4 linked regions of the Saccharomyces cerevisiae S288C genome follow. The gene in region 3 interacts genetically with the main gene of each other region. Each region holds a gene or a part of one and is shown on either strand. Other genes may lie near its edges. The genes, in order: SFC1, RIP1, PEX22 and PMP2.

What was found.
Region 1: mutations in PEX22 (region 3) and SFC1 together harm fitness more than expected from each alone (negative genetic interaction), as found in Saccharomyces cerevisiae (2 studies listed by BioGRID).
Region 2: mutations in PEX22 (region 3) and RIP1 together harm fitness more than expected from each alone (negative genetic interaction), as found in Saccharomyces cerevisiae (2 studies listed by BioGRID).
Region 4: mutations in PEX22 (region 3) and PMP2 together harm fitness more than expected from each alone (negative genetic interaction), as found in Saccharomyces cerevisiae (2 studies listed by BioGRID).

The regions. Positions count from the first base shown.
Region 1 is NC_001142.9:605,860-614,871, reverse strand, and holds SFC1 (Sfc1p), read right to left. Parts: upstream 5,100-9,012; coding exon 4,131-5,099; downstream 1-4,130. Other genes in the region: YJR098C (uncharacterized protein), read left to right, coding at 1-1,686; JJJ3 (Jjj3p), read right to left, coding at 1,941-2,459; YJR096W (aldo-keto reductase superfamily protein), read right to left, coding at 2,829-3,677; 60S ribosomal protein eL43 RPL43B, read right to left, coding at 6,014-6,290, 6,566-6,567. UniProt on the Saccharomyces cerevisiae protein: Transports cytoplasmic succinate, derived from isocitrate by the action of isocitrate lyase in the cytosol, into the mitochondrial matrix in exchange for fumarate.
Region 2 is NC_001137.3:102,226-111,147, reverse strand, and holds RIP1 (ubiquinol--cytochrome-c reductase catalytic subunit RIP1), read right to left. Parts: upstream 3,889-8,922; coding exon 3,241-3,888; downstream 1-3,240. Other genes in the region: YEL023C (uncharacterized protein), read left to right, coding at 596-2,644; YEL025C (uncharacterized protein), read left to right, coding at 5,001-8,567; RNA binding protein SNU13, read right to left, coding at 8,825-8,922. UniProt on the Saccharomyces cerevisiae protein: Component of the ubiquinol-cytochrome c oxidoreductase, a multisubunit transmembrane complex that is part of the mitochondrial electron transport chain which drives oxidative phosphorylation.
Region 3 is NC_001133.9:40,452-49,049, reverse strand, and holds PEX22 (ubiquitin-protein transferase activating protein PEX22), read right to left. Parts: upstream 6,874-8,598; coding exon 6,331-6,873; downstream 1-6,330. Other genes in the region: oleate-activated transcription factor OAF1, read right to left, coding at 1-486; flavin adenine dinucleotide transporter FLC2, read right to left, coding at 800-3,151; ACS1 (acetate--CoA ligase 1), read left to right, coding at 4,028-6,169; GPB2 (Gpb2p), read right to left, coding at 7,149-8,598. UniProt on the Saccharomyces cerevisiae protein: Involved in peroxisome biogenesis.
Region 4 is NC_001137.3:121,650-126,257, reverse strand, and holds PMP2 (proteolipid ATPase), read left to right. Parts: upstream 1-3,328; coding exon 3,329-3,460; downstream 3,461-4,608. Other genes in the region: nucleotide diphosphatase/phosphodiesterase NPP2, read left to right, coding at 40-1,521; GTT3 (Gtt3p), read right to left, coding at 1,588-2,601; EAF5 (Eaf5p), read right to left, coding at 3,948-4,608.

The sequences.
Region 1 (9,012 bases), on a different chromosome or scaffold from region 3:
TCTCTTGACGCTGATGATGAAGATCTCGATGAAATTATTTCTTATTCGCATGACGGGAACTATGACAGCTCTCATAAAACTTTCTCCTTTTCCTTACCATTTGGTAATACAAATTTCCGATCAAGTTCACCATTAGCCATAATTAAAACTGTGCTTCCCAAGACTCCAGATGAGTTCATCAAAAAGAATCTAAGAAAGAATGAGATCAAGCAAAAACTGAAAAAATCAACCTCCATTTCTTCCTTGGAAGAGATAGAATTATTTAAATACGAAAGGGGCATTGATAATTCAAGGTTAAGGGCTGTTAAAGAATCTTTGGAAATGGATGCCTTGAAGAACTCCATTAAGCAAATAACAGCAGACCCATTCGACAAAACTCATGACGGATATTACCGTTCGCGTTTAGAATCTATATGGAATGAATTGGAAGGAGATGTCGTTATAATGGGTGGATATCGAGGTAGTGTGCTAAGGGATGCTACTACTCATAAGCGAATTTGGATCCCATTAAAGGCAGGTTTGAATATGACGAAAGTCGATTTATTGATCGGACCTAATGACGAAGATGAACTTAAAACTCAGAAGGAGATTGTCCCTGATGGAATGCTAACACATATAGGGCCTGTTGATATCTCTAAGAGGTTGATAAAGAGGCTAGACGCAAATCCTAATTTAAATGTTCAGCAGTTTGGCTATGATTGGAGATTATCCTTGGACATATCTGCCAAGCATTTAACGACTAAACTAGAGGAAATTTACAATAAGCAAAAAAATAAGAAGGGAATATACATCATTGCCCATTCAATGGGCGGATTGGTCGCACATAAAGTGTTGCAAGACTGTACTCATTTGATAAGAGGTATTATTTACGTGGGTTCCCCAAGCCAATGTCCAAATATTTTAGGTCCTATTAGGTTTGGAGATGATGTGATGTGGAATAAAACTATTTTCACTAAAGAAACCAACTTTTTTATGAGAAGTAGTTTCTATTTTCTACCGTTAGATGGTAGATGTTTTGTTGACAAAATTACCTTAGAGAGGTATGATTTCGATTTTTTTGATACAGATGTTTGGAAAACCCTTGGCTTGTCACCTCTCGTCAATGAGAAAAGAGAGGAATCAGCTCACGAAAAATCAAAATTATTACCAAGGAAAACGAAATCAGCGCTTTCGCTTAAAGCTACCCTAAACGCAACTACCAAGTTTGTCCTAAATGCACCTGTTGTTAGGAATGTAGCCGGCAATAATAAACAGGTACCAAGGGATGTGCCTTTCGATGAAGTCTTCCATACATCTTATGAAGATAGCTGTGAATATTTAGCGAGAACTTTAAAACGTACAAAGAATTATTTGGATAGCTTAGATTACGACCCGAACAAAGAATATCCTCCATTGGCCATGGTTTACGGTAACAAGGTTCCCACTGTTAGAGGTGCTAAAGTGAACGGTATACAAGATATAAAAGATGGGAATTATGAAGATTTTTACTATGGTCCGGGCGACGGTGTTGTTCACCATAAATGGTTATTGCCTGAACAGAGAGGCTTTCCAGTTGTTTGTAAAATCGCCAGTTCTTCAGGTCATGTTAGCTTAATGACGGATTTGAAATCAATGGCAAAAGCATTCATATCTATCGTCGACAGCGAAAAAGAAGGAAGAAGATCTCGAACACGAACTTCTTCATGAAAGGCTTTTTATTCCTTTGTTTACTATTCATATCTGCATTTTTCTTTTTACCAAAATTCCGCATGTCAAAAAAAATCTGGCAACGCACCGCGAATAAAAATAAATAATATTTTTTTATCTTTAGTTGCCTAAATACTATTTATTTCGTCAATTTTACAACCTCTTTTATATACACCATTCGATTTCCCACGAAGTAAAATAATAATTCTATAAACAGATTTATCTGATATGCTCAATTTCCCCTCCCATTTTCATTATTGTCCTTCTTGCTCTTCCTCGATGTCAAAATTAACCTTCAGCCATAAGCTGCATGCGCTACATTGGGTTAATAATTGATAACCAGAATGACTCCGTTCCATAGCGTCTACATTATCAATGCATTCATCTAACAAACTCTCACTAAAATGAAAACCACCAACAAATTGACAGCGAGGACAATTCATCATAAACTCCAGCTTATCTTCATCAAATGAGAAATCGTCTAAGGAAAATTCATCCAGCCCATCACCACAATTATGAAATCCTTGGCGTTTATAGTTTTCAAGGATCAACCTATCATATTCGCGACGAGTTTTTATATTCGATAGTATTTTATAAGCATCTTGAATCTTATTGATTGTGACGTTGCTAACCGTATCATGTATGCTTTTAGAAAGTTTATCGGGGTGCGTATTTAGTAACCGATTCCTATATGCCTTTTTGATTTCATCTTGTGTTGCATCCGATGGAATTCTTAAAATTTCGTAGTGTGTTAACGAATTCACCAATGACATTTTCGCTAAATTTTCACACCAAAAGAAAGATTAAATTGGAGATAAATACAATACAAAGAGCGTGGTAAATTTCTTAGTTGATTGCGCTTATCTTTTGGCACCGATAGTGGTTTTTACAATGGTAAGACTAGTAACGTCACATCGAAGTCATCGCATCCATTTACAATTTTTCTGAAAATTTCCATCTCCAGTTACCCGCTCATAAATCTTCAAGAAAAGTCAATGATTTCCTTTTCTACCTCTAGCAGCTCCTTTAATCTTTGATTTAGATCGAAAGTCCTGAAAAAGCTACATGTAATATTAATACTTTGTGAAACGTAAACTAATTATATGTTCTATATACGTTATTCTACGGTTCGCATTTTCTTTTTATGGCGCGTCTGTGCATTCCCAATCGGTAGGCTCATAAGCATCAGGATGATCAAGAAATTTCATCTGTTCGTCTGACAGTTCAAAGTTGTAGGCTGCAAGGTTACCTTCTAACCTCTTCACAGTTTTAGTCTTCGGTAGTGGTAAATAACCGTGTTGTAAAGACCAACGAATCAAAACTTGACCTGGATTACGGTCCACCTCTTTGCAAACTTTTAATAAATCTGGATTAGTCATTTTGTAGCCGTGACACAATGGGGCAAAGGCTTCGACGACGAGACCTTTAGATTTACAGTAATCTGCTAATTCTTGTCTCATAATCCAAGGTGATATCTCGATTTGGTTGACCACTGGCTTGTGCTTCAGTTCTGGCCAGTTCAAAAGTTCATCAATGTGCTTTTTCCCATAGTTGGAAACCCCTATAGACTTAACCAATCCTTCATCAACCGCTTCTTGCATGGCGCGCCAAGTTTCCAACCTTAATTTAGAACCTTCCAGTGGCGAATGAATCAAAAGAAGATCGATGTATTGCAAGCCCGAGACTTCATTCAAACATTGCCGAATGGCAGCTTTAGCTCTTTTATATCCGTTTTGCGAATTCCATAATTTAGTAGTGTAGAAGATTTCCTCACGTTTATGGTTCCCTGGATCTTCGTTCAACCATTTAATGATACCATCGCCAACTTCCTTCTCATTACCATAAAGAACAGCAGTATCGAAATGACGGTAGCCGCACTTGACACCTTCATACACAATTTCGGCTGTTTGCGATCTTGGAATATCGTAGGTTCCCAAAGCAATGCTTGGGATTTTGAAGCCGTTTGAAAGTTTGTAAAACTTAGGAACCATGTTGTTGAGGTGAATTTTTTTTCTTCCTTCGGGCTAGGTATGCTAAGTTAATTACTAAAGTAAGATCAGTTGCTTATGCTCTTATATATTGGAGGTTGCGACAAGGGATGAAAGAAAGAGACACCTCCCCTCATATCGACACGACGGAATATGTATGATAACTACTTCATTGTTCTTTTCAGCACATTATTACTATTTACGAAAAAAGGGAGTAGGGAAAAATGGCGCGCTTATGGAGCCTCAAATAAGGACAAAAAAGTCAAGTAATGAATATCAAATTGAAATGAGTATGCTTACATAGATTTATTTGGTTTGTTTTCATTTTGTTTTTGTTTCTTATGTTGCTGCTTTATTTTGTGTAGGTAATAAGGAAGAATAGGGCGATTAATAATTGATCTTCTAGCCTATTTCTATTTTTTCTTTATTTCATTTTGTAGTCCCATTGTTCATCATCTACTTTAATGGCTTTGGCTTTGGTGTGTCATTCTTCTTGAATATACCCAAATTTTCTAAATGCTCCCTTACATATTCATAAACGGTAAAGGTGACAGCCTGACCTGGAGCCACCCTCATCACTCTTGGGGTAATACCCTTGTACAAAGCTCTAAAACCTTCTTCTTTCAGTAGTTGAGCACCAATGGTTATGATTTTCTTCATACCGGACTGTTTTTCCAATGAGATGGACTTATCCTTTTGCAGCCTTGTCTTTATAGTATCCAATGGAGCGTTGGAAAACGGCCCAATAGCACCCGAAATCAAACCTATGCAAGAAGTTTCCCATGAAGGTAGGACATCCATCTGATGGTAATTCTGCAAAAACTCCTTCAGTTTAGAATAAACTGTGAAGTTAGCACCCTGATTAGTTGCTTGCCTTGCCGCAGTTAAGGAAACGCCTCTATATAAGGCAGAAACACCTTCTTCTTTGACAATAGTGTAGGCTGCATGAATGGCGTTGTTATATTTAGGACCAGCATTTGGCTCACTCGGAGTTAAATGCTGAGCTTGTAACCTAATCTTTACAACTTCCATCGGGTTCACGACAAGAACAGCTTCGGTGATACCAGCCCCAACACCAGCAACAAAAGTATTACCGGTAGACACAATTCCTGATTCCTTGTTAACCAATAAGGTTCTATAGAATTCATAAGACGAGAAACGGATTGCCATCTTAGGTATAATACCGATGACCACAGCACCTAGACCTTTATACAGAGCCAAGAAACCTTCTTTTTGATAAATGGTACGCCCAGTTTTAATAAATCCTGGGGGTTTAACATGTTCAATACCAGCTACCCGTCTGTATATTTGCATTCTCACCTTAATTGTATCTAAAGGATGACAACACAATGCTTCAAATAAACCTGCTGTGCCGCCAGCCATGAGATTGATGGCTGGATGGGAAGCCTTCTTTTTTTGAGACATTTTTCTTTCTTCTTCTTTGTTATGTTATCTTACGGCTAAAACTAATATAAACTTCTTTCTTGAATCAAGTATTCTTAGTTTTAGTAATAGGGAAGATGCCAAGTTTCTTTCAATGACTCAATTGATAATATCTTCCAAAATGCTTTGCACTTTACTTATGAAGCAGATAGAAAACAAAGGGGGAAACGCCAAGAACAAGAAGAACTACAACAAGAAAGTTAACAAAACGAGAACAAGTAGTAAGTGAACTATATATTTATACATAAGATATATGCAAAATGTGACATTACGGTTTGTAAAAGGTAGTAACTCCGTGGCGACAAGAATCTCAAAGGATTGGTTAAAAGATAGCACCTCGAGCAGTAGTACTACCGTATATCATCATTGCCTCCATCATCACACTTTATTATGACAATGAGGACTAATCATTAACACCGACCCATCAAATTTGGGCCCTTCGTCACAATTAAGGTCCGTTTGCGGTTTACCGGGACTAGGCTGGTACTGTCATACGATGTGGTATCTGGTAGACATGGGCGGTTAATAATTCATGGCTCATTCGCCAACGTCCATTTCTCCGGGCGGGCGCTACTAAAAAAATAATGCTCCATTCAACCGAGATGATTCTCTAGTCTCCCCTCGGGTTCATCGAAAAACGCCCCTCTTTTCCATTAAACCGAGGGTGCTGTCAAAATTTCTTACTAAATCACGTGACAAGAGGCGGACTGGAAATCAATCGCCTTTTGCTCTTACCTGCAAGTGAGTTTAAATATCCGCAATAATTATGCTAAAGTTTCTTTTTTACAGTTCGTTGATGTACTGATATGGTTTTATGTAAATTAACAAATACAAAACATAGTCGTTATGGAATAGATATACCTAGTGAAAGCCAAGAGAAAATGAATGAAAGAAGTTTAAGCTTCAACCATTTCTCTTAATCTTCTGATGGTAGATCTAACAGTAGCGGCAGCTGCAGTAGAAACAGTATAAGCACCACCGGCAACGGTCTTCTTACAACAGGAACAAGTCCAAATACCAGCTGCACCTCTCTTAACAGTCTTCTTACCACAGAAGGAACAGTCATATCTGGCATGTTGTTGAATTTCAAGCTTCTTAACTTGTCTTCTCAATGATGAACCATAACGGACACCGTATTTACCTGTGATACCGACCTTCTTTGTTCTCTTAGCCCTGCAAAAAAAAAAAATAAGATGGAAATATTTGTTAGTAAACTAAAAACTTGCCTTATAACTGATTCGATGTAGTCATATTGAGTTGTGGTGGACCTACAGTGAGATTGCCCCAAAAATGCGCTACCATCTATCCTGGCTTATCATTCTCCTCAACTGCGATATTTCGTGGTTTATCAACCCCAGCACTTTCTATTTAATTCAAATCTACCACGCATCTCCACTAACTCCAATATAAGAACATTTAGTCATCCAATTCCTCTATTATATGCATACATTTTTTTGTTTGATTATCTATGCTGTTTATAATATCGTATATAGTTAATGAATAACCCTACAACACGAAGGGCAGTAATATATTCTGATTCTCAGTTGAAATTTCAAATTTTTCAAGCTGGTCTTACTCGGCAGGTAGGAACTTCCCAGTGGGTCTGAGTTTTCTCTCCGGAAGGTATTTATCATTATGCACGACAAGTGCGATTCAATCGAAAGATTATAAATTTCGCGATGAACAACATCTGATAAAAAAAAAATTAAAAAACAATAATCTAAATGATATGTATGGGTTAAAAAGGATGTATGGATGGAGGGTTGGCATAAAAATGAAAGGCAGAAGATGGGCGGCTAAAAAGGTATAGAGATCGTACGTCACCGTCACAAAAATCACTCATAGAATGCACTATCATCCTTACAATACCATACCAGCCGCAAGAAAAAAAGAAAAAAAAATCAATTCATATCATATATTATCTATATCATGCTGTTCTTTCCGCCACGGCCCGTATGGTGTTGGAGTAATTTGATTAATGTATTCCCTCACGGAGGTTCAGTAGATATTCTCAATAAAAGAAGGGTGGGGGTGTATTTGCTGCAAGAATGCGGATGTCAAAAGAACCTCAAGAAGTCCACTAAATGGCAGTAAATGCCGCGCTTACATTTTTAGCGACTGCCGAAAACGTACGGCTAACTGCTGTACCTCAAAAGCATAAAATTGTGATGTTGATTAAAACAAGTAGGCGTTGCATATATAGACGTGGGTAGGAAAAAAGTGAGCGCCAACACTATATAAGAAACCGTTTCTGGATACACCCTCGTGAAGAAATAGGGTCCTGCATTGATATTTTCAAACTTATATAATTAATAATAATTAATAGCGCTTAGTTTAAAGAATTTGAACTATTTTTTGGCCAACTTGGAGAAAGAATGTGTACTTGATTATTGGCATTCCGCGTATTTACGCGGGGATAAAGAGAAAACAAAGGAGAAAAGGAATTTCCTCAATTCCGATGACTAGTACCTCCGAGCAAGCAATCATCGGCGAACAGATGTAAAAAGAGAGTTTTAAACACTGAGTTTTATTTATCAAGAACGTACCCGTACAGCTATCGTTTCAGGCAGATAACAAAAATGTGATTGAAATTAAAGTAGTTTTGTTTGGAATCATGATAATTAAATATTTCATTAATTTGAAGTTACTAAGTAATGAAGCTAGCCCGAGAAACGCAAATGCTCAGAGAGCCCGGCAGTAATTGTGTACACAGAACTATACAAGCCGCTGGATAAAGCTTATTCGTTGATGTCATCCGCTATTACCTCTCCTAATCATGGCTGCAGGAAATCTTTTCTCTCAACATCTTGTACCACTTTAAAATGCGGTAGCAAAGGACAAACGGTAAAACGTTACACTGCCACGGTGTTATAGCAGCCGCAAAGTGAGTAAGCATGTGATGGTACCTTCAATACTGCGTTGGAGAAAAAAAGTGCGTATCTTTGTTTACTTTTCGTCTTCGAGGGGAAGGATCAAAGGCGCATGCGTGCCCGCAGGAGGGGGCGCCAGGATTGGGGGTAGATACAACATCAAGGAAGCGTCATGGTGGCTTCTTGGGTCTTAAATACGCAGGGAATTAAAGTTTCATTTATGTGCCTTTACATGCACTCAAAAACCTTCTTAGTTACAGGAAAAGGTAAAGATACGATAAGAAAAGCCTTTGAACTGCCCATCCTGCATCCTAACACAGATCTAACTCACTATTCGGGTAAGGAAGTGTCATGCATGTCTGCAAAGGGACTAGAAGAAAGTTACATGATTACATAAGCAAAAAATCGGAATTACAGACACACCATTTTTTATCCTGCGGCCCCATTTCCGTCTTCGAGGGAAAGGATCAAAGGCGCTTAGCCCAATCTTGATGATTCACCGGGGAAGAAAGGAATTACAGAACCCCCAGCCACGTAACACAGCCAATTAGTTTTCTATATCGGGAAACGTGATTGATTGCGCAATTTTGGCTGCATCAGAATACATCGATGAGATCTAGAGCACCCTTTGATGGTTTAAGTCCGGTTTAAAGTTAGTAGATCAATGATTTCGTAGTGCATTTTAAAGGGAGCGCTTATCCATGGGTGATTGCGTTTACAACGTTTTGTGTGTACTCATAATAGCCAATCTAAAATTAAACAACAACAACAACGCACAATTAATATGTATCAGCCCCAATACCTTTTTCTCTTACTGTAATTTACTACTAAATTGGGGTCGGACGTTTTTGATCTTGTTCCTTGCCTGTTGTTTACCTTGTATATTACTTTTCCTCTTTTATGTATTTAAGGTAAATTAATTATCTTTTGATCTTAATATTTTTCTCAAAATGCTTCCCTTGTAGTTCGGTATTTTTGCTTCTTCAGATATTTAAACTACCGTATACCATAACTGTTTCGTGAAG
Region 2 (8,922 bases), on a different chromosome or scaffold from region 3:
TGCCAATATAAACTATAAAAGAACTTAAAAACATCAAATCTTTAGCAGAGGAGTCCTTTCCGTTTGAAATTGTTGTTTATTACTTTATTTGCGGTTCGCCACACTGCCTAAAACCTGCAGTTTCCTGTAAATGTTGCTGGTATATTATCAGTATGAGCCGGCCGGATATTTCCCTTATTTAATGAAAGAAGTTTTTTTGAAGTCAACTTCTAGTGTTTGTCTTCCATTTTAACGATCAGGAGTCGTCATTCCAATTTTTTGCCTAGAAAAGATTCATGCTTTTAGGAAAATAGTGGAAAACCAAACATACATCAATTGACGCTTCAAGTATGGTACTTAAAAGATAATGTTAATATTTATTATCCTGTTAATTAGTCTTTCTTCGTCTTCTGAAAAATGTTACTTGGAATATTTAATGTTATGAAATTATGGTAATGGCCCTCCTGTTGTCTATTGAGGTGTCTGGGTGTGTTTGTCACATTCAATATACTGTTAAACCGCCACAAATTAATGTACTTCAGACAGATGTAGTAAAATAACAGCAAACAGGTGATGTAACTTATAAAAAATAATACACTAACATAATATCCATTAGATGGATAGCTTCAATTATATTCATGGAAAATATAAAAAAAATGGGACGGGAGGCGACAGAAGTATAAATCCATCCTCACATTCATCGTCTGGCAAGAATATCATTCTTTGTTTTGATGGAACAAGAGAAAATTTTGGACCTCAGCCATTCACTAATATTTTAAAATTGTACAACCTTCTTGAGAACGGTGATAGTTCTGAACAAATTTGTTATTACCAACCTGGAATTGGTTCAGTTGGATTTGACGCTGTTGTTGATGTCAGAAGACGGTTAACTATTTCTCACTTACAAAATTTATTAGATTCTATGTTCGCATTCAGTTTAGACAATCACATATGTTCTGCATATCTTTTTTTGATGAAGTATTTTGAACCAGGAGATAGAATTTATATGTTTGGCTTTTCTAGAGGAGCTTTTATTGCAAGAGTTCTTGCTGGAATGATTGAAAGAGTCGGACTTTTGAGTAAAGGTTTGGAAGAAATGGTTAAAATGGCATGGCAAATCTATGAAAAATGGGAATACGATTCGCAGCCTAATGAATTACAGTACACAAGTACCTTGGCTGAAGAATTCAAGAAAACATTCTCTAGGGATTACGAGGTAAAGATACATTTTCAAGGCTTATTCGATTCTGTGAACTCAGTTGGAATATTAAGGGACAGGTTGTTTCCTTGCACCCAGAGAAGCAATATCGTTGAGCATGTTCGACATTGCGTATCCTTGGATGAAAGACGTGGAAAATTCAAGCAGTTATGTTTCACTCCGATGCCGTACATTCCGAAACTATTTTCATTGACATATTGTAATCATATAACTGACCAGTGTTCGCCGGTGCCAACTTCTAATGCATTAATGCGTGATCTAACCCCGGAAAATCCTTTGATAAAATACACTTTAAAAAGTGGCGCACATTCTATTAGTAATCCTTCTCCACTCATTCCTGATAACCCTGGAAGGTTGTTATCGAGCAAAAGCGAGGAAACTACAGAGTTGCTGTTGGACCTGAACTCATTCTTAGAAGGTAATTCATACGCGAGAGATACAGAATGTTCAACAAGAGGAATTGAAGCCATTTTCCAACTTCAATCTATCCAAGGCAGCGGTACATCAAGTAGAATGACTATGACACCCGACTTGATTGAAAAATGGTTTCCAGGTGATCATTCTGACGTTGGTGGAGGTTGGGCGCCTGACTGTGAGACAGAAGAGAACTTGTCAAATTTAACGCTGCGATGGATTTTAGCAGAGGCAATCAAATTTGGTGTTAAATTCAAACCTGGTGCAATACATGATTTCGCTACCAAACACACTTCGATTGGATCTTTATTCGCAGACACACATGATTACCTTAGTTTCAACTCACCAAAGAAATGTTCCCTACTAGGAGTGAGTGATAATGAGGATGGAGCCCGAGAGGATAAATCTGGCAGAAATGAGAGAATGGAAGATTGTCTAAAAAATATAAAAGAGACTAGATTGAGCTTGAAAGATGAAAAAGAAAAAGTGAAGGATGCTTTTACTCTTAAATGTGGACATGCAAATAAATTTATGAGATTGGTGTGGTGGGTATTGGAACTGCTCCCCATTGGAATACGAATGGAAAATAAAGAAGGAAAGTGGCAAAATTTTCATACACCTAACCTCGGAAGATCTCGTTATGTACCCGAATATGTCAGTTTACATTGGTCAGTCTATTGGAGAATTAAGTTTGATCGTAGGTATAGACCGGACAATATGCCGGAATATGTAAGGCAATTGTTCCAAGATTTGGAAGGTATTGATTTAAAAAGTAATAAAGTTTCAAATAAATATGATAAGCAAGATAATAGCAACGGGAGTGAAATCAATGGGGGCTTTTTTGATAATGAGGAAGGGCAGGAACTCCACATGGGTCAAAAAGCAAGTTATTTTGCAACGACATACAATTCAAGATTATTTGACAGTAAATACTCCCAATTAAAAAAGAAATTCATGGACTGGGATAGTAATTCCTGGACAGATATTCCAGATGATTTAAAAATATACCTACAGCAAGATGAATCGCTTTAGCATTAAAAAAACCCCTTCGGTACGTAATATAAAAAATTTTATAGGTAATATACATATATAAAAATACTTCAATCATTTTTACAATCTTGTATACTTTATACAACATGTGAAATCTTCTGCTTCTGGACATCAATATTCAAATACAGGCCAATCTTAGGTAAAACATTTGGAGAAAAGAAGGATAAGGCAGGACGAGGGAAGATAAATAGTTTCGTTAATTATAAATACATGCAGATAAATAAAGGAATATCAAATATTATGAATAGAAAAAGAAGATGGTGAGACAAAAAAGTAGTAATAAATAGGTCCAAATCTTCTTTATTTCCCCTTTCTTTTCTTATCCTTTTGTTTTCTCCATATTGTATAAGAATATATTCTTAGGAAAATCAACAGGGAATACAGTATAGTGATTTTCGTTCCTTTTTGAGCGTAATCCCTTCGAGACTGTGATGTTGATTATTTTTGTTGTGATTTCAAAATTCTTAGGTTAGTTGTATAGTTCCCGTTCATAACATAATGGATAGTAAATGAAAAATCAAAATAAGGGTGAAACAAATAGACAATAAAGATGTAGTTTTCGAGGACGAAAAACAAACCTAACCAACAATGACCTTATCACCATCGAATTCATAAGCAGGAATTTCTAAGTTTAAGGGGGCAGGTCCCTTTCTGATTCTACCGGAAATATCATAATGTGAACCATGGCAAGGACAGAACCAACCACCAAAATCACCGGCTTCACCAATTGGAACACAACCTAAGTGAGTACAAATACCCAGCATAATTAACCATTGAGGGTCTTTGACTCTGTCAGCATCGGTCTGTGGGTCCTTCAAAGCGGACATATCCACACTGTTGGCTTCCTGAATTTCATGAGGAGTTCTGTGTCTAATGAACACAGGCTTACCTTGCCATTTGACAACCACGTTTTTACCCAATGGGATAGCCGCTAAATTAACTTCAACTTTAGCCATAGCCAAAACATCGGCAGTAGCGGTCATAGATGAAATAAAGGTTTCTACGGTTGATTTGGCACCTGCAGATGACAAAAGACCCATAGCACCGACCATAAAGTAAGCATAAGAACGGCCTTTATCAGCATCGTTATTTTCCTTTAAAACGTCATCAAAATTTGGGGTCCTGTACGTGGATTTGCTAGCCAGCAAAGATTGAGAAATCAGTCTTTTGGAAGTTAAAGACATTGGCTTGAAGCAGGTCTTGACAGATGATCTTATTCCTAACATGTTTGTTATTGCTCCTTTCGGTTTCCTAATAAGTGTTAGAGTGATATTATTTATGTTCAATAATTTCTTGGTTTTTAAAAGACGTTGAACTTGAAAGCAACAAAAAGTTACGACAGAGAAGTAATATATTACTTGATATTCAAGAACCAACTATAGTTCTTGCAGGTCTTTTTCCAGTCCTTATAAGGGAGCCTCCGCGTCGCCGCACGTGACCCAAGACCGATAAATGGCGCAAAACGCTGATTGGTCCGTTATGGAGTGTCTAAAAGGAAAAAGATGCGCTATGGACGAACCTGAAAGAGGCCAAATGATAGGGAAGCTTAGAGTGAAAGGTGGAACAGGAGAAGTTGAAAGGATGAAATACACAAGATGACAAGAAGGCTCGAATTAAAGGCGGCTAGTTATTTCAATTTAGGAAGCATTTGCTCTAAGAGTCGATGGGTCGTACTTCATGCACATTATATTACGCATGAATAGCCGCCCAAGCTATATGAACTTATTGGTGGATTTTTGAAACCAATAAAAAGGATTTATGAGAAAGAATAATCTTCCTCTGGGGTATTCATAGCTATCAACGTATGGTTACCTTGTCTTAGTCGGACACTGGACATAACTCTTACAATGGCTGTTAGCTTCTCAATTGACAATGGTATTTAATATACCAGGCGGTTAAAGAAAGGGTAGGTATTTTTTTCTACCTAGTTCAGTTTATATGGATGAGACAGGGATAGACGGGCATGTACGGAGTTTTTCGACTTGATCAGTGCAATCCACTGATTATCGTTTTATGTAGGTATTTTCTTGAGTTACAAAATTTTAGGGAAAGTATGGATACAACCAGAGAGCCGATGTGGTGTTTTTTTTGGTTTTTAGTACATGCAGTACGCTTCTTTTTCTATTTCCTGTATACTTCCTTTAAGCGTATTCGTCGTTATAGGTTCTATTTGCTTTCAACTGAACGCGCTTGCCTGAACGCCTAAAGCGGAAAGAAATACATGACTGAAAAACAGACATTCTGGTCGCAACTCAGCGAAAGGGAGGGTAGAAAAATATATTGTGTTATAATGTCAGCGTTAGCGCATTGCATATTGCACTAGCCATTGCCACGTAAAATGGCAAGACAAGATGAAACGGACTGCAAAAAATTGGATAGCAATTCGGCCTTTTTACCTTTATGCATAACATCTTATAGATCAAAAGATGAGGCTGAGAAGCTGGTAAGTTGTCTTCATCACGAAGGAAGTTACTTTTTATGTTTTAGCTATGGATTGTATACCGGAACGTCCAACGAATTGAAAGCGAAGGTTGAGTTCGCTTTAGATGGACCGTTCGTTGTTAACTACGCAACTGTACCGATGTTCATGTCAGCTTCCTTCTGTCACCTGCTAATGTTTAACGACGGTTCCATTAAGGGATTCAAATGCGAAAATAACAAATTTGAAATTATCTACGACTCTAATGTGGCTCCGAAACTGGATACTATTTCTTTATTAACTTCCAGCTGGTTAAATGCTTCCTTTGAGGGTGTTTTATACACTTGCAATAAAAACATATCATATGATAGTGATTTGCATACGTTATGTACGACAATTTACTCCTTTGACTTCAGAGAAGGAATAGTCGAAAGATTTTATGCCACCGATGGCGAAGAAATTATCTCCTTTGATTTTATTAGCAGGGAGGATTTGCTTGACGACGCCACATGCACAGGTAAATCACACGTTTATTTTCTTTGCCTACTTAAGAGTTGCTATAGTGAAAACCTGTTTTTAAAGGAATACAATCTTGCTGGAAAGCATGGAAGTAGGAAATTTGATTTAAACGAGTACCGCCAATACAATCTTTTGCCGATATGTGATAATGAATTTTGTTATATGAAGGTAGTTTGCGGCCATACCATTGTAGTGTTGACTACTAACTACACTCAAATAATAAATATAAAAGCAAGTGGGCTTACAAACGGGGCTTTTTTCAATAATAAAGGTCTCCCAAATGTAGAAAACTACCAATTTCTAAAAGATTCTTATGATGTGATATATGAAAGATCAGTCATTCTCTTGACAATTTCTGACGTGTATGCTAACAAATACACTGCCAAGATACACACTAGGTCGTTACATAGAGACCACGTCCTGAAAGAACTACAATGGACAAAAGAAAGAGTGTTCAAGCCTCCTAAACATGATCTATGCGATGTTATTTTGCAGCTCCCACGTGAAAAGTATATAGCGGTGACAAGAATAAATGGAGTAAATTTTATATCGAAAGATCATCGAGGTTCAAAATTAGAAAAGGTGAAAAGCGGTCCCGCTTATACAAACAAAGTTTACCTGGCATCACAAGTTATTGGAAACAAGGGGACAGATATTGATTCACTGCTTTTGGGTGGAAGTTTTAACTCAAGAAGAGGATTTTTAGAAAAGAAAATTTTGGTATATGACAAAACCCTGTTCAAGTTAGTGACTTCCTCCAAAGCGCTAGTAGAGAATGTAACTGATTTTTGGGTTACAGATTTAGCACTTAATGGTGGTGACGAATTTGCATATGAATCAGGTGGGTTGATTTATAAGAACGGAATATTTTTAATGGATGAGCCTTATGATTACGGTCTATTTGTTTCTAGGACGGGAAAAGTTTTGAAAGCCGGTATGGATGGTTCTACCGGAGAATTTAGGCAGGTCGATTTCTTGCAGTCGAACCACAACTCTTCCACCATGTTTTGTTATCCCGTACAGAACTCCAAGCTCAGGATTTCGATACTTGAGGCAAAATCTGGTTTTCTACGTAAAAAAGAAGAATTTTTTATCCATGGGCTCAATTCTAAAGAGAGTATTGTGAGCTGTTTCTCAGATGGTGCCGAGAAATACCTTTTTGTCATTTACTTGGACGGTGTGTTTTCGGTATGGAATGCCAATCAAAAGAAAGTGGCTACATCACATCCAGACTATTCTTTCATAGCCTATGATCAATTGATAAAAATATCTTGGCTAAGCAAAAAGCATAAACACGACTCGATTTATGTCATCGCATCATCATACACTGGCTGCGTAAGAGTCTACAAATCAGAATCAAATTTTTTGAGAGTGGATTTAGAGATTCATTCGTTATACGATCAGAAATTAGAACTGTTGGATACGATTCCTTCCTTACCTTTGGTTTTCCTTTACAACGATAAGGAAATAATTTTGTTAAATCTTCAAAACATGTCTTATGGTTGCATACAGTTAGGCTTAGTTCCAAGACGAATGAGAATTCGACCCGGTAAAGCACTGTTCTCTCTTTGTGTTTTAGATTATGATTCTCGAATAAGCATCTTTGAGTTTGGTAGCACGTTTTACCGTGAAGGTTTCACTAAGCAGATGACTTCATTAAAACCTCAATTAGAAAATCATATCTTTTACCTCCCTAGCATTCCCGTAGAGCTCTATACTGTTCCAAATAACCTCAATCAGGCCGTGGTGTGTTTGGTCGATAGCAATAGTAGGCAGTATAAGTTGATGCTATTCAATTATGCTTCAATGAAGGCAGTTTCCACATTCAGTTTCTCGGATGAAAAGTATTTACATGCCGTTGTGAAGCCACTGTGGCCAGAACAAAACTCAATCTACTTATCACAGAGACCCTTTTATGGTAATAAGTTTGTTGTATGCTTAGGAGTTGGTGAAAAACGTACAAAATTCTGGCTGTTTGAAATTAGAAACAATAACATTACCCAATTGTACGCGAATTATCTCGAAGATTGTATATTCTCGGTGTTCATATACTATGAGTGCAACTTGGTTTTATTTTCTGGTGATAGTGGCATAGCAGCATATAAAATAAACATGCTAAAAGAGGGCGCGGAAATTTTAGAGGCCTATTCCTTCCCAGCACTTTCATCGATTAACCATATAGGTCTTCCAGCTTATATGAGTGGTGATTATCTGGTTCAATTTGAGATCTTGAGAGATTTTTTGAGAACCCGCTTTCCAATTAGGACGTCCATAGTATATCCATCAGAGTACCCTGAATGTCCCTACTTGGGTTTTAAGCGGTTGGGAAGCATTACACAAGTGGCGACTAAAATAATTCCTAAGAAGCTAAGAGAACCTAAAAACGATTGTTTAGCGAGTGATAAGAACTATCTATTAGGTCGATTATCAGACCTTTCTTGTGCAACGTTGAAATATTCCAATAGATCTTATGTTGCCACCATTGGTATTGATAATACCTTGACAATATACGAAGATTCTAAATTATCAGTTGATAAGGGCGGGTTGGCTATGCCATACCTCAAAATTCGGTTACCTAATAAGATAATCTCACTGGCGGCCATCCCAGATGGATTTCAAAACCTTCAAATATGTCCAAATTTCAATAGTCAAAGGTTGGAAGGCGTCATACCTCTATTTTTACTTTGCGGTACTGAGGGCCAAATTTATATAATATCGGAATTCATTGGTGAGCTGTGGATGAGAACGTTGCATGATTACAAAAAGATCAAGCTCGAATGTAAAAGAGCTTTTCGAAGGTCTGAGAAAAGCATGCGAAATGTTACTAAACAATATTCCGTGAGTAAAGAGACTGGAATAAATGAAAGCGGCTTTGATGAGCTAGCTAGAAATTCAAAGAGAAGACATATAGATCATTCACCATACAAGACCATAGATTTTTTCGATCCTGTAAAACTAAAAAGGTGACAATAAATCTCCTACGAACGAATAGGTGCCATGAGATCTTGCACCTTTTTGTTATGCCTAAATTACTACAGCTCAATTGATAATACATGTTTGTGCATTTACAGATGCACTCGAGTAGGTTATTCAATGAAGATATGACATATATCATACCACTAACAAAACAGCACTATTAGCGTCTGCACTAGTGGAAAGCAAAAAACTTTTTTATAGTATATAGATGGTACAAAAACTATGTTGATAGATATAATCCAATCTACTTAAATTAATAAAGTTTCAATCTTGTCCTTGACAGCGTAGATTTGGGTCTTGATAGCAGAAGCATCGTTGGTGGTAATAGAAGCAGCAATAACTGGTC
Region 3 (8,598 bases):
ATGCTGCTTCTTGGTATCAGGACTGTCCCCGCTAGCATTGTTTGTATTGATCGGACTTGCTGATCTCTTGCCTGATTCATTCACCTCTCTCTCTGTTAGTAGCTTCATAGCTTTATCTTTCCAATAAAACATATCTTTTTCCAACCTTGATATAATGGCGTCTTTACTCGGAATTCGTGGTGCTGGCTGTTTTGATACGTCATAAACACATTTTAACCCATGCTTGACGCATCGACCACATTCAGGTTTTTCTCTATCACACTTTGTTTTTGACTTCCTACAAGCCTGGCAGACAAACAATATTCTATTTCTTTTCCTATTATGTGTTTCGGAGTTCTCGGGGGCAGGCGATGTGCTTGAGTGCTCAGCTTCTAATCCAGGCGTTGGGTTATTGAACCCTAAGAAAAACGCCTCCGAATATGGCTTGGTAGAGCTATTATCATCATTTCCGGCATGTGGGGCCTTCTGCGTACTATTTTCGACCATGACTTACGCAACCTAATCTATTATTAACCTGCTTCTAACACAAAATAGCCAACAGTAAATCCCTTCTGGAGGATCTGTTTCCTTCTCTACACGTCAAAAAAGATGTCAGAAAAAAGCGGCAATTGCGTACATTTAAGGAAGCAGAGCCAAAGCGAATTTCACATTTAAGGTTTTTATCGCTGAAATATGTGTGGTGTTGGGATGTAATGGAGATAATACACCTTTTTGAGCGGTTTTCTATGAAATATAATGTAGGATATCCTTGCCCTTAAATATTTATATAATAAGTTGTTACATGTGAGTATATATTGGATTACAAATATGGGTTGTTGTTGCGGGCGTTTTCGTTGCTGCCGTTGTTGTTAAAATGCGAATATGATTTATTGGAATTCCCCAGGTAGAGACTTGATTCAGGCTTCATTAAACTGGAGGTGCTTGTATTATTCGGCGCTAGATTAGTACGAGAAGCAGATGACGCACGTTGGTACTGTGGAGACAAGAAGCTGCCACCCGTACCCATGACAGCGGAGGTTGGTTGCACAGGTTGCTCCGTTACTTCCGAGGCATCGAAGGGAGAGGAATTTTGCTTAAAAGAGGATGAACTAGTCTCATCATCAAAGAGTCTTGCTGTATTTGTGTTTGCATTCAGGTTCTTGCCGAAAGTGTCGTCACGGAACATTTTTTCTTCCTCATTTTCATTGGTGTCCATAACAGCTTTTCTCAATTCAAACAGTTCAGAATCATTTTTGTTTTTGCCATCGAAATCATTTTGAATCTTAGGAATGAATGACACACGGTCATCTTTCATTGGTTGGTAACGGACATCTGGGTTTCTGTGTAGTAATGCCAGTGTACAGGTGACAATAGTGAACAATAATAGGAATAGAGCAAACACCGCGTTCAAAACGAACAGAATAACCGCCATCACTGACGAAACCACTGCTGGTTGCTTGAACAAATTACTGAAAAACAAAAAGAAAAATGCATTGATCAAATTCACCAAATGAATAGCAATATTGAAAACATTAGTTCTCTTGTCCAAATATGGTCTTATCCAACAGAGACAAACGAAGTAAGCTAGTTCAATGACAAAGATGATCATTGCTTGAGCCTTACCTTGGTTTTGTAAAACGGCAACAAACAGGGATCTTAAGAACGCATAACTTAATAAGGGTAAAAGCCACCAAAACTTATCTGCTTTGAATTGAACGTATAAGAACCCAAACTTGTTCAAGAAGTAGGTATCACTGTAAAGTAGGTACGCAGGATTCTTGTATAATCTGAGAGACTCTCTTCCCTTGATGAAAACCCTTATAGTTCCATAAACCAGAAGTCCCGTGATGATCAGTAATATTACTACCGCATCAACAACAATCGCTGGAGAGTTGACCTGAGTAAATTCCCAAATCGCCAGAAGAGAAACTTGAGGGAAGGCGATGATAGATAATCTGAAAAGGGTGCCTTTGATAATACTCCCCCAGTTCTTCCTATATTGGAAGAAATTGGAAGTCTCTTTCAATATTCTTGCTCTTGTAAGAACTTCCAATAGCGCCTTAAAGAAAATCAAAGAGACGACAACTACAAATAGGAAGAATAGAAAAAACACAATACCGGTCAAAAAGAAATTAGATAGCTCAATATTAGCCAAATAAGCAACTCTTTCTATACCTCTTAACACGAGAATCTTGGCTGAGTAATTGCTTGGATCCTTCTCAGAAGTGGTGTACAGATTCGAATCGTCTAAAATGGTGTCAAAATTGTAATCACTAGACGATGCCATAGAGATAGCACGTTTTTGCACACTAATGGACAAGACGTCCTTGTTAGCTACCACAACATTTGAGACACCATTAGTGGCCTGTACGTACCAATCAAAAATCTTTTGCATGAAGTTTGTATTGATGATACCCATGGACCATTGGAAATTCTGCGTCCACGCGGCAGCAATGGGTGGAACCCTTGAGACACCCATCATTGCAGTGATAGCTAGATTTTGGAAGTATATGAACAATGAGATGGAGTTGGACGCAATGTGAGCAGCAGTGGCTGAGTAACCGATCACAGACACAAACCCTGAGGTAAGTACACCGACACCTGAGATAGCGGCAATGGGCCAGGCCGCATACTTTGTTTGCACTGTCTTCCCGTTACTCAAGATAGCCTGGACACAAGCCAGCGGAGTTTCGAATTCCGTGTCATTCTGAGCGTATGCCACCACACGTACTTGTGCGTCCAAATCTGGAATGGTGTAAGCAATGCCGGGAAATTGCTTGGTAATGGATGATTCGATCACCTGTGTGGACATGACATCAATACGCCCAGCACTTAGGGGGCAAAGCGATACTTGGCCCAAGGAACATAAATCAAAAGTCTTATCCAGGACTTTCAGTCCGTAAGTAAGCAGCTCAGCCTTCACAGTGACGTTCCCATTAAGCGTCGTCGTAGCGTCAATATCAAAGATAACAGTATTATTATCGGGGTAAAATTTCACATCAAAGAATGATGCCGTTAATTGCGAATTGTCCATACACGTCAATAAAGAAGTGGTCTGCAAATGCTTTGCAGACGCCGGAGTAGTGTCGTTTGTGTCAGAGGAACGTGCTGTACCGCTGCACAGTACGAAACACGTTAAAAGGCACCTTGCGAAGGTGTTTAGGAAGATCATGGCTATATAATCTTTTTATCACGTCAATATAATCGTAATGAAACAGAAATGAATGTATTATAATACACTGAAACACGGTATAGCGCAGCAAATTGTTTTAGTTTAAGGGGTATAAATGTTTTCCAAGGGTGGTGTTCTATATATATATGCCATTCATATACTTTTAATAATGTTCTATACGTATTCCCGTGAAGGCATTAATGATTATCTTTTTCTTTAAAAATGCAAGATGGCTGAGTAGTCGCGCGAAAAAAAAAAAAAAAAGAAACAGCAAGGTTAATTTTAGAATACCAACAGGAAAAAAGAAAAGATTATCCTCCCAGAAAAACAATCTGTTTATTACCCGACATTCTTAAAAAAACAAAAGCAAATCACATGTGCACATACGTCCAGAATGATATCAAGATAAATGGCACGTGTATGTACGGCTGTGTAAATATGATAATCATCTCGGACGAACGGCGTAGCACTCTCCATCCCCTAAAAATGTTCACGTGTGACTGCTCCATTTCGCCGGATGTCGAGATGACCCCCCCCCCTCAAAAGGCACTCACCTGTTGACATGCCGTGGCAAATGATTGGGGTCATCCTTTTTTTCTGTTATCTCTAAGATCCAAAGAAAAGTAAAAAAAAAAGGTTGGGGTACGAATTGCCGCCGAGCCTCCGATGCCATTATTCAATGGGTATTGCAGTTGGGGTACAGTTCCTCGGTGGCAAATAGTTCTCCCTTCATTTTGTATATAAACTGGGCGGCTATTCTAAGCATATTTCTCCCTTAGGTTATCTGGTAGTACGTTATATCTTGTTCTTATATTTTCTATCTATAAGCAAAACCAAACATATCAAAACTACTAGAAAGACATTGCCCACTGTGCTATGTCGCCCTCTGCCGTACAATCATCAAAACTAGAAGAACAGTCAAGTGAAATTGACAAGTTGAAAGCAAAAATGTCCCAGTCTGCCGCCACTGCGCAGCAGAAGAAGGAACATGAGTATGAACATTTGACTTCGGTCAAGATCGTGCCACAACGGCCCATCTCAGATAGACTGCAGCCCGCAATTGCTACCCACTATTCTCCACACTTGGACGGGTTGCAGGACTATCAGCGCTTGCACAAGGAGTCTATTGAAGACCCTGCTAAGTTCTTCGGTTCTAAAGCTACCCAATTTTTAAACTGGTCTAAGCCATTCGATAAGGTGTTCATCCCAGACCCTAAAACGGGCAGGCCCTCCTTCCAGAACAATGCATGGTTCCTCAACGGCCAATTAAACGCCTGTTACAACTGTGTTGACAGACATGCCTTGAAGACTCCTAACAAGAAAGCCATTATTTTCGAAGGTGACGAGCCTGGCCAAGGCTATTCCATTACCTACAAGGAACTACTTGAAGAAGTTTGTCAAGTGGCACAAGTGCTGACTTACTCTATGGGCGTTCGCAAGGGCGATACTGTTGCCGTGTACATGCCTATGGTCCCAGAAGCAATCATAACCTTGTTGGCCATTTCCCGTATCGGTGCCATTCACTCCGTAGTCTTTGCCGGGTTTTCTTCCAACTCCTTGAGAGATCGTATCAACGATGGGGACTCTAAAGTTGTCATCACTACAGATGAATCCAACAGAGGTGGTAAAGTCATTGAGACTAAAAGAATTGTTGATGACGCGCTAAGAGAGACCCCAGGCGTGAGACACGTCTTGGTTTATAGAAAGACCAACAATCCATCTGTTGCTTTCCATGCCCCCAGAGATTTGGATTGGGCAACAGAAAAGAAGAAATACAAGACCTACTATCCATGCACACCCGTTGATTCTGAGGATCCATTATTCTTGTTGTATACGTCTGGTTCTACTGGTGCCCCCAAGGGTGTTCAACATTCTACCGCAGGTTACTTGCTGGGAGCTTTGTTGACCATGCGCTACACTTTTGACACTCACCAAGAAGACGTTTTCTTCACAGCTGGAGACATTGGCTGGATTACAGGCCACACTTATGTGGTTTATGGTCCCTTACTATATGGTTGTGCCACTTTGGTCTTTGAAGGGACTCCTGCGTACCCAAATTACTCCCGTTATTGGGATATTATTGATGAACACAAAGTCACCCAATTTTATGTTGCGCCAACTGCTTTGCGTTTGTTGAAAAGAGCTGGTGATTCCTACATCGAAAATCATTCCTTAAAATCTTTGCGTTGCTTGGGTTCGGTCGGTGAGCCAATTGCTGCTGAAGTTTGGGAGTGGTACTCTGAAAAAATAGGTAAAAATGAAATCCCCATTGTAGACACCTACTGGCAAACAGAATCTGGTTCGCATCTGGTCACCCCGCTGGCTGGTGGTGTTACACCAATGAAACCGGGTTCTGCCTCATTCCCCTTCTTCGGTATTGATGCAGTTGTTCTTGACCCTAACACTGGTGAAGAACTTAACACCAGCCACGCAGAGGGTGTCCTTGCCGTCAAAGCTGCATGGCCATCATTTGCAAGAACTATTTGGAAAAATCATGATAGGTATCTAGACACTTATTTGAACCCTTACCCTGGCTACTATTTCACTGGTGATGGTGCTGCAAAGGATAAGGATGGTTATATCTGGATTTTGGGTCGTGTAGACGATGTGGTGAACGTCTCTGGTCACCGTCTGTCTACCGCTGAAATTGAGGCTGCTATTATCGAAGATCCAATTGTGGCCGAGTGTGCTGTTGTCGGATTCAACGATGACTTGACTGGTCAAGCAGTTGCTGCATTTGTGGTGTTGAAAAACAAATCTAGTTGGTCCACCGCAACAGATGATGAATTACAAGATATCAAGAAGCATTTGGTCTTTACTGTTAGAAAAGACATCGGGCCATTTGCCGCACCAAAATTGATCATTTTAGTGGATGACTTGCCCAAGACAAGATCCGGCAAAATTATGAGACGTATTTTAAGAAAAATCCTAGCAGGAGAAAGTGACCAACTAGGCGACGTTTCTACATTGTCAAACCCTGGCATTGTTAGACATCTAATTGATTCGGTCAAGTTGTAATGATGATTTCTTTCCTTTTTATATTGACGACTTTTTTTTTTTCGTGTGTTTTTGTTCTCTTATAACCGAGCTGCTTACTTATTATTATTTCACCTTCTCTTTTTATTTATACTTATAATTATTTATTCTTTACATACTGTTACAAGAAACTCTTTTCTACATTAATTGCATAAAGTGTCAATCAGCACATCCTCTACATCGCTATCAACAACAAATTTGACAAACCTGCCTATATCTTCAGGAACGACTGCTGCATCGCTACCACCACTACTTGTGAAGTCCCTGGAGTTCAATATGCACTGAAATTTACCTAGCCGTCTTACACATGACCATAATCCATCCATGCTATCGCAATATATGATTTTGTGTTCGTTTTTCGTCTTGCGAAAGGCATCCCCAATGGCTTGTTTCATTGATCCATCAGTGTGGCTCGTAGGTACCAGCAAAACCACTTCATCAGCGGCGTACTCCTCCCACTTTATGGGCAGTCCTTGTATCGACTTGCTCATTATAATACATTTGCTCTTCCTTGCCTTTTTGTTCTCTTTTACTGAATCACCCTCTGGAGGTCGTGCCCCATTATCTTCCTTTGCACTTGTCACCTTTTGATATATATAGTAGGACGTGACCAACACTGCTATAGCTGTACCCACTATTCCTAATGTTCTTGTTTTGTTTATTCTACTTCTTGATGGTGGTGGCATGTTTTATATCTTCTTCTTCTTTATTCTTCATTATTGTTTCATTGTCTATTTCATCAGCACAATCTTCCCTTATATTTTATTTTTTTTTTTTCGATTAATTGAATTAGGGGACTATGAACCTAATTGTTAATTTTTTGCCAAAATATTTCGCTGGTATTGCGAAGGAGATTATTCTTTGAAAGACAAAGTGTTATGTGACTATAAAACAAAACTGAATATATTATATTCTACTACTAAACAAAGTTTACAAAGTGAAAGCATTGAAAACTGCCTTTTTATGCACTAGGATTTACGCTAGGAAAAATACTTTTCGTTATGGTACCATGTAAATATATTTCTTTTACATTGCTCCGTCTAGATATCAATCCGCCAATCAAAATAATACTTTTGTCACATTGCAAAGAAGTGCCACCGACACCAACTACTATATTTGAATTTGTATCTTCATTTTCGCTATCTTGTCTGTCCTCATCGTCTTCCTTCTTGGACAGAGTAATTTTATGTTCTTCCCAACACTGCGTGCTTAAATCAATTGTGTTCAAAAAATTACCACCCAACGGTAATGTATCGACCTTGCGTTTTCGAGGAGGCTCATCATCATTCTCCGAGTAAAATTGGTCAACATCCTCTTGTACCATACCACCTATACATACACATATTCGTCCAATACTTTCCATTCTGTGGCCAACGAGACCTACGTTCACACTATCCAATTTTTCATCACCGTCTTCGCTCGAATCTGCCTTTGCAAATGTCTCTATTGGAGTCCATGTCTCACACTCTAAGTCCATCAACCACATATCATCAAGAACGTTGAGACCGTTAGACCCACCATGCAATACAACAGTTTTACCTACTGGCTTCTCTTGGCTTAAAATTAATCTCTGTCTCCCTATCGCAGTCATTGGAATAGATGACGATTTTCTCCCTGGATTGACTATATAATTTTCCAAATTATCGTCCATATCGGGATCAAAGCTCGCAGCACTTGCGCTGCTGGCCGAGGCACCAGCTTTGGGCGATTCTTGTGCCGCAGAGCCACTATTGAAAAGATCTTGATGCGTGCCATGAACCATCATGGGGAAAACCGGTTTAGGACTAACAACGCGATCCTGTGATATATATGACGGTTTTAAAACAAAATGGTTTTTTAAGTTGTTCAATAGTCTCATGTCAAGAGAACTCCTATCCATTAACGAAGTCCCATGAACAGAAAAGGCAGAAAAGGCTCTTTCTTCGGGCCAATCCGATTTGTCCTTTTCGCTTGGCGTCAGTAGTATCGCGTTAGCTGTCTCTGAAAACTTACAATAACCTTTTTTACCGCGACGTATCACGGGTATCTCTATCTTCCACAAATCATTCATTGCTTCGTAACGATCATCACCGGTTTGTCTGTAACCACCAAATATTATAACCGTGTGCACAGTATTATGAGGTAATGATGAAAGTACTGCTGCTTTTTCAAGCCGCCCGGAAGTGATGCTGCTACCTTGTTTCATGGAAGCACTCCCCATTTTATGAATTTCGTTCATGCTTGAAGAATGAACGCTAGCTCTCCTATTTGGATTATCAATAGAAATTTGTAAGTGACCAAACCTCGATGACATTGTCGGATATGCATTATATTTGGAAGGTTGTACTATGATATCTATTTTAGTGAACTTGAACGACATAATATCGAGTATGTAACCAGTGTTATTCACATATAATCTTTTCTTGAGATGA
Region 4 (4,608 bases), on a different chromosome or scaffold from region 3:
GAAATAACAAAGAAGGCCATTTCGAAGTGTGCTTACGATATGCTTCTTTTCGAGCAACCTGTTGACCTTGAAAAAAATAATGAAGATGATACGAACATAAAACCTTTCGCAATATCACGACATTTTTTATTGAAACTTTTGCTTTGCGGTATAATACTCATTGAGTTGCTTTTATATTCGAAGTGCCCAAAACCTATTGATAATGGGCCCCGGACAATTGCGAATAGATCAAATACTTACTTCAACGGCACACATGATTTCAAGACGTTAACGATATTGATATCTATCGATGGGTTCCATCCGAGATTGATAGATGCAAAATACACGCCATTTCTTTACAACTTGCACAATTTGCGGTCCCCGTACGATATGAATATCACGACTGCACCGTATATGATCCCAAGTTTTCCCACTCAGACATTTCCCAACCACTGGAGCATGGTAACGGGAAAATATCCCATTGAGCACGGTATTGTTTCCAATATATTCTGGGATAATTTCACGAGTAGCGAATTTAGACCAAATAACCTCGACGCAAGAATTTGGAGCAACACGGCTGACCCTATTTGGCAACTACTGCAAACTGAATCGCAAGGCGAATATAAAGTGGCCACGCATATGTGGCCTGGAAGTGAGGTTGTGTATGAGGACCACGGGGATGTACCTAGGGAAAGAATGCCATTTTATTTTGGGAAATTCAATCAATGGGAAAAACTTCAAGATAAATTAGCTCAAATTTTCCGATACATAGATATGCCTCAGCTTAAAGATAGGCCAGAATTGGTCATAAGTTATATACCCAATGTTGATTCGTACGGACACAGTTTTGGATACGATTTACGAGATAAGCGGCTACAAAAGCTGATCGGTGAAGTCGATGGATTCTTTCTCGATTTGATTGAAGGCCTGCAAAAAAGAAACTTGTTGAAAATTAGCAATGTTATGATTGTTAGTGACCATGGCATGAGCAATGTCAACGCGAATGACGGTGAGCATGTTGTTGTGTGGGAAAGGGTGTTCCCGGCCGACGCAATGAGCGCATTTATTTCGCATCTTTATAACGAGGGCCCCATGATGATGGTATGTTTGAAAAACCCTCGAGACAAGCAATGGATTTGTGACTTGATTGAAGCTCAGTTAGAGAAAGCATATGGAGATGAAATATCGAGGAAGTTTCACGTGATCCTGAAAGAAGATTTCGACCCGAGCTGGAAATATTTCCAATACGATAACAGAAAGCACAGATATGACGATAGGGTCGGCGATATCTGGATTCTCGCAGATGAATACTACGCCATTGTAAAAGAAATGGGTGATGTGCCTATCGGCATTATGGGCACACATGGATACAACTTTAACAACTGTAGTGATATGGCATCTATATTCATTGGAATGGGTCCGATGTTCAACAATGAAGTCGTACCTCCATTTGAAAACATCGAAGTATACAATATGCTGATCAAGGCAAGTGCGCTTTTGGGAGAAGAAAAGACAAAGAAGGAGAAGAGTTTATTACAATAATACAGAGTAGTAAATACACACTTCGCGGCTTACGTACGCGTGTGTATACGTATGTAAGAAAATATACTATAATACGTATAGAGTGAGGAGACAACTAACCATGGAGAATACTAGAGGTACCATACCAAGGGAACGGTTCACTGTACAGAGTTGTGTCCATAGTTGGTTAACACATCGAAAAGAATGGAAATCTATGTTTTTATTATTACAAGTTTTGAAGATTGCCAAAGAAATCAAGAATTTCGTGAGATTGAAAGTCATCGGGTCCAACTCGATGTTCAGGTCGTAGCGGATGAAGTTGATGTAGTATGACACTAACGTTGGAATACCCCTAAAGAAGAGCAGCCACGTGAGTATTGGTAAACAGAAATCGAGCGTGTATTGATATTTATTATGGGCGGCAACGGCGGCTTCCAGCGACGATGCGAGCGAAGAAGAAGAAGTTGGCTGCCCGGCGGCTAATATGTTTCTCACCAGAAAAGAGAATTCCAACAAGGAAAAAATCGTATCGACGGCGGAAATAGTGGAAAGATAGTCCTGAACATTTTCATTCAATTTCTGCGTTTGGTATCTAATATCGGAGAGGTATTCCTGAAAGTTAAACTTGAACTTAGTAAACGCAGAGGTGGACGAGTCGTTATCTGTGCTAAAATCCAACAAATTGAAGTTCGTTTTGGCGTTTGAATTTGCATTCCTGCTGGAAAGCGGCTTTGTCGCGCTTGTTTCATCGCCTGATTGCGGTTTCTCATCATCATCCTCCTTGATGTACGCTTTCTCCAGATCGGAATCATTTGTGGCGGTGTCACAGGATCCAGACCCAGACCCGTTTCCAGATCCGGATCCGTATTCGTTCCGTTCATCCTTTGACTGGTCCACTGTCATCGACTCATAAAAGGACCTTAGTTCCGGGTAGTCGTCTTTAAAATCCACAGGTTTCTCAAGATGATTCAAGTGCGATTCGAGGTAATCGATCATATCACTCTTCTTGGCATAATTGGGGAAGCCGTCAATTTCCAGCTTGTTGGCCAGGTCAATTAGGTCCGCCTTCTTCCAGCGACTAAAAGTTGACTTGGTCGGCATATTGTATTATAATGATCTGTGATGGGCTGTAATGCACTTTCACTTTTGTTTTCTCCCCTTGTATATAGATATTTTCGCACGTTGTTTACGTATTGTGTAGTTCTTTTTGTTATGAGTGACGAATGCACGCAAGTAGCGCGCAGGAAATTATCATCATATACGTATATCATCATATACGATTTACCACTTTTAGCACATTAACAGCTCGGGAAAGAGTTTCGGAACTCGGAAAAAGCACGACAAACGAGGGCGAGCCACTAAATTACCGCAATCCTACGACCACAGCAGCCCGGGCCCTCTCCAAAACCGCGCTCTAGCCCGCTCTGCTTACTCCCTGTGCAGCGCCGCCCGCGGTAGCACTGGCCAACACCCTGACGCAACTCGTCACCACGCTGTTGAGCTGTTTTCGAAATCCGTCCGCAGCCCTCCCTAGCTTTTGCATCAAAAAAAACCTCTCGCTATTTTTCCGGCGCGGATACTTAATTTCCTTAACGAATTACAGAACTTTTTTCTCTCTTTCTCTTCCACACCTTTTGGTTTAAATAAACAGTGAAAAAAACTAAAATTCCGTAATCACAACTCAATTTCCTTTCCTTCCTCTTGGTTAATATAAAATCAATTCTTCTTCCCTTCCAGTTTTTTCTCTTTCGTCCTTCCTTCTTCCTTTCTCTTTTTCTCCATCGTATACATACAAAACAATAAATAGTACAATAACAATTATACAAAGATGTTGATGAGCACGTTACCAGGTGGTGTTATCTTAGTTTTTATTCTAGTCGGTTTGGCTTGTATCGCCATCATTTCTACCATTATCTACAGAAAATGGCAAGCTAGACAAAGAGGTTTACAAAGATTCTAAGCGATCACTAGCAAGCCAAACGAGCTTGATGTTGTTTTCTCTTAGTTATCCTCTTTTTTTTTTTTTTTTCAATTACTGAATATTAATGAATAAATTAGACCTCTTTTCTCCCCAACCCTTTTAATTTCTAATAATTAATTAATTTTTCCTGTGTGTGTGCTATATTCCTACTTTGTATCTGTGCTGTTCGATTCCTCTGTTGGAACGATGTGATTTGCGTGGGCGTTTTATCGCAAAAAAGTTTTGGGCATGCGGGCGTGAATGGATGTTGTTTGCCGTGTGTGGGCAAATACACCCTGCTCTTCGTTTTGTTTGTCCCGTTCTTTCCCATTTTTACCTACCTACTATGTTTTTTTTTGAGAAACATGTCGCTTCATTTGTTATATATTGTTCTGTTAAAGAATTGTGTGTGTATTTTTTTAATAAAATAGTATATAATAGTAATGTTACAAGACTTTAGATTTTCGAAGTGTCGCCTACTATCTCCTTACTCTAGTGCTCTTCTCATGAACTGCACCGTATCATCCAATTCAAACTGCACTTGTCTAGCCAATTTCCAGTCGTCCGTACCAATGACCTTTCGCATTACACCGTCCGTTATGCTCTTTTGAAGAATCAGCTGCAGTTCATGAACGCTGCCGGGCGTTTCGTTCTTTATGTCTTCGTAATTTATCTCATTCTTGATAATGCTACCATCGGGACTCTTGAATAGCTTCTGAAAATTCCCAGTTTTACTTTCCAATTTATTCAGAACGGTATCTCTGTATAATTTCAATAGTTTTTCTCTTTTTGGGTCCATTGAATGCGCCATGTGTGGCGTAGTCGTAGTTATAGTAGCACTGGTACCAGCAGATCCACTTTTGCCAGCATTTGCATGTGGTTGCAGTTGCGATGCACCGGTCTTTATACCGTTCTTCAATATCTCATCCTCCATCATCCTTATTTGTTCGACCTGCGTTTTCTTGAATCGATCGTACTTTTCGTCAAGGAGCTTCTCGATATCATGCATTTCCAAACCGTGTAGACTAAGTTGTCCATCGTTTAGTGTTGTTCTGTACTCTGGGAATAAATTCTTAACTATGGTCAGGATATCGTTGATGCCCAGTTTCCTGTTTCCATTTGCCACGTTGCTTTGCCTTCTTAAATTT